Bombyx mori: one gene and its partner. The protein of the gene in region 2 purifies or fractionates together with the protein of the main gene of each other region. This does not show direct contact. Links are inferred from orthologs where the notes say so. Each region holds a gene or a part of one and is shown on either strand. Other genes may lie near its edges. The genes, in order: thioredoxin-like protein; apoptosis-inducing factor 1, mitochondrial.

What was found.
Region 1: the proteins of apoptosis-inducing factor 1, mitochondrial (region 2) and thioredoxin-like protein purify together in Homo sapiens (affinity purification with mass spectrometry; 3 studies listed by BioGRID and IntAct, with this or other methods). This does not show direct contact. The link is inferred for Bombyx mori from reciprocal best matches to the Homo sapiens genes AIFM1 and TXN.

The regions. Positions count from the first base shown.
Region 1 is NC_085130.1:3,052,052-3,056,661, reverse strand, and holds the start of thioredoxin-like protein, read left to right. Parts: upstream 1-1,694; coding exon 1,695-1,865; intron 1,866-4,610. UniProt on the Homo sapiens protein: Participates in various redox reactions through the reversible oxidation of its active center dithiol to a disulfide and catalyzes dithiol-disulfide exchange reactions.
Region 2 is NC_085120.1:1,553,628-1,557,454, forward strand, and holds part of apoptosis-inducing factor 1, mitochondrial, read right to left. Parts: intron 3,652-3,827; coding exon 3,497-3,651; intron 2,595-3,496; coding exon 2,455-2,594; intron 1-2,454. UniProt on the Homo sapiens protein: Functions both as NADH oxidoreductase and as regulator of apoptosis.

The DNA of each region.
Region 1 (4,610 bases), on a different chromosome or scaffold from region 2:
CGATCGCCGACGACCTTGTCAAACGTAACTAAGACCTATCGGACCGACACAAAGCTGGTTATTTGATACGGACATTATTTATTCAGAATATAACCGGTTTTTTTGTTGTGTTTACGTTCACACGGATAATGACTTTGGCAATAGAACGTATTGTTTAAGACGTCGAATTGGAATTTTGGTTAATGTCGTGATTGTGTATTAGTAAATACTAGAGGTCCCGCAGTAGTCGAAATTCGACTATAATTAATTGGAATTGTAAGTTTGTACACTATTATGATTGTATTTTATACTTCTATAATCACAAATTTCGCCAAGACTACACTATAAAAAATATTAACAAAGACAATGTTTAATCTATTCTCAATTTGACAACAGACGCCAAGAACAAAAGTTTGACAATAAATAGTATGCATGCGTGTGTGCGTCAAATACATGGTATGTAGTGTGTGTAATGTTTTCTTTATTGATTAAATGTATCTTTTATGCATTATTTTAAAAATATATTAGCATTGTGCATTTCTTCTCTATATTCTCTATAAGTGTGGGGAATTTCATACTCCTCCGTCCGCGCAATTTTCATAAAAAGGAATACAAAGTTTTTGCTTCACGTATTAATATATAGATATGGCTGCTATTTTATCGTAACATCTGAGCGAGCAGTTCTTATAGTGAAGACGAAAAGCCAAGTCAAACGAACGACCAGACTACAAAATGATTTAATAAATTAATAAACGTATAATTTTTAAAGCATATAGTTAATTTTACAATTAACCTAATATCTTAGTACTCTTTAGTGAATCCCTATTAGTTTTCTTCAGTGGACGAGTTCACGGACCACCTAGTTTTGAGTGATTATCCTGTAATACGTACTTTTATCCACTCACATATTTTCTCCGCGTGTCCTAACGTGCCTCATTTCCACTACAGTCATTGCTCCCATATACGTTAGTGAAAATGAAAAGTTTGAAGTATTCGAAACTTAAAAAACAATATCGAGGGGTGTATCGGGTGAGGGGGTGGTTGTAACCAAAAGATCCGTTTTATTTGGTATTAGTATCAAAAAGTTCGATGTTTTTTAATTGAACTTCAATTAAGCTTACTCCATTCAAATTGCTGAAGTTTTTTTTCGAAATGTTAAATTTTTAAATGGCTCGAAAGTTGCAAAAATGACGCGCTTATACCAAACTAGCGGCCCGTTCCGGCTCCGCTCGGGTCTTTGACAAAGATTTCGATGATATTTGACGTTGTTTTATTTTTTTAAATAAAAGCACACTTATTACGGCATAACTATAATAGTTAGACATATGCTGTCGCGACACTTTTTGTAAATAATAATGTGTTCTACAAAGTCGTAGTATATTATTTTTTTCTATCATCAATAGTTGTCGCAGGGCACGCGATGTAAAGAAAATTTTAGGTAATCTTTTTACTCCTTGGGTTACATTATTGGAGTTTTAGTAAGGATCCCTAATCAAAAAACATTATAGCTTATGTAACTCGGGATTAGTGTAGCTTCCAAACAGTGAAATAATTTTTCAAATCGCTTCAGTAGTTTCGGAGCCTATTCAACACAAACAAACAAATTTTTCCTCTTTATAATATTAGTATAGATAACCCCTTCACATCTCTATATGTAGTTTAAAAAGATCTCGGCTTAACTATATAGTTTTAACGTCGCTTGTCCACAGCCCAAGATGTCCATTCACATCAAAGATTCCGACGACCTGAAGACAAGGCTGGCGGAAGCAGGCGACAAGCTCGTCGTGATCGACTTCATGGCGACCTGGTGCGGACCGTGCAAGATGATCGGGCCTAAACTGGACGAGATCGCCGCCGAAATGTCAGATTCCATCGTCGTTGTGAAGGCGAGTCCTTTTTTTTTCTACCTATCTATTTGCTGGTAGCCTAAGGATCTTATTTCAGCTACGCGCGGACGGGCAGGTGAGCCTCACGGGCACAACTTGAGGAATTTGCTAACAGCCCTAATAAGAACAGTGCTTCGCTGAATCTACCACCGGATCGGAATCGCGACCCACTGATAAGTCGTCGTTTGAAGTCGTGGCCTAAAGGATAAGACGTCCGTACCAATTGTTCTAATGAAATACGTACTCAACAAATGTTCACGATTGACTTCCACGGTGAAGGAATAACATCGTGTAATAAAAATCAAACCCGCAAAATTATAATTTGAGTAATTACTGGTGGTAGGACCTCTTGTGAGTCCGCGCGGGTAGGTACCACCGCCCTGTCTATTTCTGCCGTGAAGCAGTCATGCGTTTCGGTTTGAAGGGTGGAGCAGCCGTTGTAACTATACTGAGACCTTAGAACTTATATCTCAAAGTGGGTGGCGCATTTACGTTGTAGATGTCTATGGGCTCCAGTAACCACTGAACACCAGGTGGGCTGTGAGCTCGTCCACCAATCTAAGCAATAAATTTTTTTTTGCTAAAAGCCCTAATTAGAGCAGTCCTTCGCTAAATCTACCACCGGATCGGAATCGCGACCCATTGAGAAGATCCGGCGAGAAACTCAGCGGCTCAGACTAAGCTAGACTAGATAATAGTATCTTTTTCATTCTAGAGCTCTTACCGAGGACTTGTAAATATTCTAGTTATCTTTATAACCATGCCCGAATCGTAAATTGAAATAAACGGGTGTTCATTAAAAATAAACCTTTTCTTCAAAACACTTGTATGTAAAGCAACGCGTCTTATATCTACATATCATTCTTAATATACTAAAGCCTACGTAATAGTTTATATGTTGTCATTGTGATAGCATTCACGCTATCTAACTCGGTAACAAATCTCAAAAACAATTATTATACGAAAGTTAAGATGATTTCTATTTCAATAATTTCAATAATATCTTGAACACAACTGACGACAACTGAGAAATTTGAAAGACCTCTAACTTAATCAAGTCTAAAAGGATTTACCTACAAATTCACCTCACTGGTGGTAGGACCTCTTGAGAGTCCGCGCGGGTAGGTACCACCTCCCCGCCTATTTCTGCCGTGAAGCAGTAATGCGTTTCGGTTTGAAGGGTGGGGCAGCCGTTGTAACTATACTTGAGACCTTAGAACTTATATCTCAAGGTGGGTGGCGCATTTACGTTGTGGATGTCTATGGGCTCCAGTAACCACTTAACATCAGATGGGCTGCGAGCTCGTCCACTCAACTAAGCAATAAAAATAATAATAATTGGATTGTCGAATTTAAAAATCTTCGTACAATACTTGTGTGCGATGCTGTCAATAATTTAAATCAAAATATTTTAAATCGGCAACTGCTTGCTTTGATATTACATAGTTTATATATATATAAAAATAAAATGTTTCTAAAAAAAAACCCAGCAATAAATGTTATCAGAATTGTAATGTTCACTTAAACGTTATCAATAATGCCGCGATAATTTAGTAAGATTGTAAATATAGTTTGGTTGTTATCACGAAAACGTCGATTGCACGCGACCGCATGAGAATCACTACAATATGTAACTTAAGAAATAAACTTATTTGTCGAAGTACATTCAATTAACATTATTAACAGTTTCGTATCTTTGAAAGTCGTCGTGGCCTAAAGGATAAGACGTCCGGTGCATTCGTATGTAGCGATGCACCGATGTTCGAATCCCGCAGGCGGGTACCAATTTTTCTAATGAAATACGTACTCAACAAATGTTCACGATTGACTTCCACGGTGAAGGAATAACATCGTGTAATAAAAATCAAACCCGCAAAATTATAATTTGCATAATCACTGGTGTTAGGACCTCTTGTGAGTCCGCACGGGTAGGTACCACCGCCCCGCCTATTTCTGCCGTGAAGCAGTAATGCGCTTCGGTTTGAAGGGTGGGGTAGCCGTTGTAACTATACTGAGACCTTATAATAATAATAATAAAATAAAAATAATAAAAATCATTTATTGCCTTTCACATCACAGAAAATAAAATGAAATACAAATAAAAGAAAAGAAAAAAAAGAGAAAAAGGCAAAAGGAGGTGGCTCAGCTATTGCTGTTCGAGGTTGATAAATCGAACAGCGCTGATTTTCAGTCACCCCCGTTTCCCCTTGGTTCTTTGCGGGAATGAAGGCTAATTACGTGTGTACATACTTAGAATATGGTATAAATTAGTAAAACTAGTAAATTATAAAAATTTAAGAAAAAAACAAAACAAAAATCAAATTAAATATTGAACCCGAATACATACATATATAACATAATAAGCACACAGTAACAACACCCCGTAGGCAGCCCACAACGAAACAACAAATAAAATAAAATAAAGCACGATAATACTATTACTAATACTGACAAGCAGCACAACATTTACACTTGTACATAAAAAATAAATAAAAATAACTTTAATAAAAGGAGGTTTTCAAAAGCAAGGATAAAACTAGTTCCTATAAATACTATAAATTAAATTAGTTTTTGTGAATCCAATAGAAATGATTTAGAACTTATATCTCAAGGTGGGTGGCGCATTTGCGTTGTAGATGTCTATGGGCTCCAGTAACCACCTAACACCAGGTGGGCTGTGAGCTCGTCGACCCATCTCAGCAATAAAAAAAAATATGTAGAAGTATGTAGAAATTAATCAGAATC
Region 2 (3,827 bases):
TGCCTGTCCTCCATACTTGGTTACACAGATCAAGCAGCAGCTTAATTCCTCGATCTCCTAAATGTTTTAATTCCTCAGCGAAAATATCGTCTCTACCAGCTGCCTTATTCGTTTTAAGTTTATGCAGGGCACCTCTGATTTCGGATTCTATAATCTCCGGTTCCCGGTAGTTTATTTCTAGCACTCGGGATTCTCCATCCTGTCCTGCAGGAACGGCATACAATTTTTCGCAATACGATCGCCACCTCTCCGTTATCTCATCTATCTCACTCAATAGCTTGCCCTCCTCAGTCTCTATAGCCCATGTTTTTGCCTTAAACTCTCTCGTGATGTTTTTGATTTTCAAAAATATGTCTCGGGTTTGAAACTTCTGCGCATGATCTTCAATATCCTGACAGATTGAGTTAAGGTAATCATTATAGTCCCTACGGCAGAGCAGTTGAACTCTTGCCGAGGCTTCGCGGTAATCTGTAATAGCAGATTCGACATTGCCTATGAGTAGTTCCTTTCGCTCTCTGATAGCCTTCCACGTCTCCTCTGTTATCCACTCTTTCCTCGGAGCATCTGCCGATTTCTTCTGGGAATCATTACGCGACGATAGGATTAGGGCCTTTAATCTGTTCCAGTTTTCGTCAATGTCATTATGGTCCATAATAGTGTTGGCCGATTTGATGTCGAAACGTTCCCTGAAAATTGCCAGTTCACCGCGGTCGAGCCTCCTCTGCGTCGAAAGAGATGTTCGTTTACACCTCTTTAGTTTGAGACTAATGTTGGGTTCTAGGATGTGTGATGCGTAATATATGGTTATATAACAAGAATAACCACCTAGCCTCTCCACTCCAATCTCCACTCCCACCTACTCGCGGTGAACCCTGTTACGTCGAGTAACCTATCGTTGAGATTGCGGTATCCAATCCCTTTGGAAACGTAGGTCGACAAGCAGACGGGAGGAGAGGGGGACTCCGGTCATTTATAGATACTTTACACCGGAGGTCAGTCGTTGGCAGCAGGGCGTACTGACTACCACAACCAACATCACTGCGGCGCAGAAGGCAAGGGGAAACCACTGCGCTAGTTTTCCCAAGTAATCCTATGAAAGTGGACCAAGTACAGAATGAGATTGTATGCGATCCGGCTACCACCCGGCGCCGTGTCGAGTCCAGGTCACACGGTGTGAAATATGTTACTGGCCACCCTGCTGCGGCTCACCAGGCACAGTGCGGACAGAATGTTACTGGTGACAGAACAGCGGATCAACGAGCACAACTTCGCAAGAAGATGAAAATTGGAACCTGGAATGTCCGAGGCATGCTCCAACCCGGAAAACGAGAGATCTTAGACAAAGAGCAAGCACACTACAACTTGAAAATATTGGGAATTACGGAAACACATATGAGAGGATCGGGCTTTTATACTACCCCAAAAGGCCATACTGTGTACTTCTCAGGCCCAGAAAATGAAAGTAAGCATGGTGTAGCGTTGTCTGTAGTGGCCGATATCAACAAAAAAATTTTAATGAAATAATAAAAATCCAAATTACTTAAAATAACCGTAAATCGTTTTGAACCAATTATTATTGTTTACCACATTATTTATACATTAATGAGGTTGAAAACTCCATGAATATTTTTTTTCAACACTGAACTTAGCGCACTCTGCTGATGCATTTGAAAACTAATTCACGTTCCAATTAAGCTTCAGCATAATTCGGCATTGTGCGCCACTGAGTCGCATTATGCTCTGTAATTGGAAAACTACCACTTTCTCTAGCGGCCCCCACTGGTGCCGTGCCACCATCAATACCGAGTCGGCAGCACCAGCTAGCACCGAATATAATAAATTCGACAAAACTGGAATTGCCCTAGCGAGACTTTACTGGTGGTAGGACCTTTTGTGAGCCCACGCGGGTAGGTACCACCACCCTGCCTATTTCTGCCGTGAAGTAGTAATGCGTTTCGGTTTGAAGGGTGGGGCAGCCGCTGTACCTATACTTGAGACCTTAGATATCTCAAGGAGGGTGGCGCATTTATGTTGTAGATGTCTATGGGCTCCAGTAACCACTTAACACCAGGTGGGCTGTGAGCTCGTCCACCCATATATGCAATAAAATAAAAAAAGACTCACAAAAAATTTAATAGTTCATGTTACGATGGTGAAATTATGATTAGAATGATAGATATGATTAGATATGATTAGAAGAAAAAAATAAAAAGAGATTATATAATCAACAGAAAATAATATCTGTATCTCATGTTCACTTAAGACATTCACTTACGAGTTAAGATTTAACAGTAGGCAGCGGTTTGGCTCAACCCCTAGCATTGCTAAAGACGGTAACCACCCACCACCAGGCGGTCCGTATGCTCGTCTGCCTACAAGAGCATTAAAAAAAAGACCGCTTTTAATTTCAGCAAATCAAAGTTCATTATCTAATAATTAAAGTACCTTACTTACCTTCTCACCCTGCCGTTCCACTGTTTAAAGGTCAAGGAGTCGAGGTCTGTGACTTTGTCCAGGTCTGGCTCCCGCCACAGCTCCTTGGTGAGCGGAGGCCGCATGTACGGCAGCTGGTACTCCGAACCCACCATCAGCACCTGACCCGGCACAGACATACTGTTATATAGGTTCCACCACTCTAATTCTAGCACTTAGGGCGGATTCGACCAAACTTAAATTTAAACTCGAGTAACTATACGAGGAATAACCTATTCCATGATTTTAATCTCGAGTAAATTCATAGTCGTTTTTCCACGTATAGTTGCGCTAGGAATAACAATAAGCGAATAGCAGAGTGAATGGTGAACAAAAATAAAATCCGGCAAATAAATGTTGTTGTTCAACGGCATAGTGTAAGAGCATACAAATCGTCAACTCGATTTTGCCGTATTTTAGTGTGAAAAAGTAGCTGTTGTGTAAGATATCCAGCTGTCAAACGTATTATTTTTATTTCTTGTTTGTTTGAGGGAATTGTCAAGTTTTGTCGTGTGGTTTTATCTTTTTTCGTTTAAACGTTGCATTCAGACTATTAATAATCATTTAGTGCATTGCGTTGACTTGAAATTAAAACAGAATAAATATTTATGAAATGACAGAAATCAGATGTTGGACTGACAGACGCCATTACTTTATTCTAGGAATAGCTCCGTTATTCCGTGCGAAACGGCGGTATAGTAACAATTCCCGAATAGGCCCACTATTCTTAGAATTGTAGTTGGTAAAACGTAAAATTGATTTACTCTCGATTAACTGACGAGTTATTCTAAGAATAAGATTTACTCTTGTTTGGTCGAATCGACCCTTAGTCACCCTGTGTTTTCAATGATTAGAATAAACATTAGAAGTCGTCGTGGCCTAAAGGATAAGGATAAGGATATACCCGCCTGGGATTCTAACACCGACCGTTGCATCGCTCAACATGGCACCGGACATCTTATCCTTTAGGCCACGACGACTTCGAGTTTTGAAATTTTGAATTTAAATAACGAATATTTTTTACCTGGGCGTCGGGTTTTTGACTGCGTATCGCCCTCATGGCTGCAAACGAGGCAGTACCAGCACCGACCAGCAGGAACTGTACGTGTCGCGGGAGCTGATCCGCAGACGCCGGGATGGGTGTCCGTACTGGCCCAACATTCTTTTTTGGTGCATCTTCTGTTTTGGAAAAATTGTATCGTGAAATAAAACAAAAATTACATGACAAACTATCTGTACCAGTCCGCTTCGCTGGGCATTTAAAATTAACATTATTATTTTTCAACCCCACAAAGATTCCCATCATTAACGCCCCCGCAGCTGGTGTAGGGAGGCCAACACTCATATAAATATTA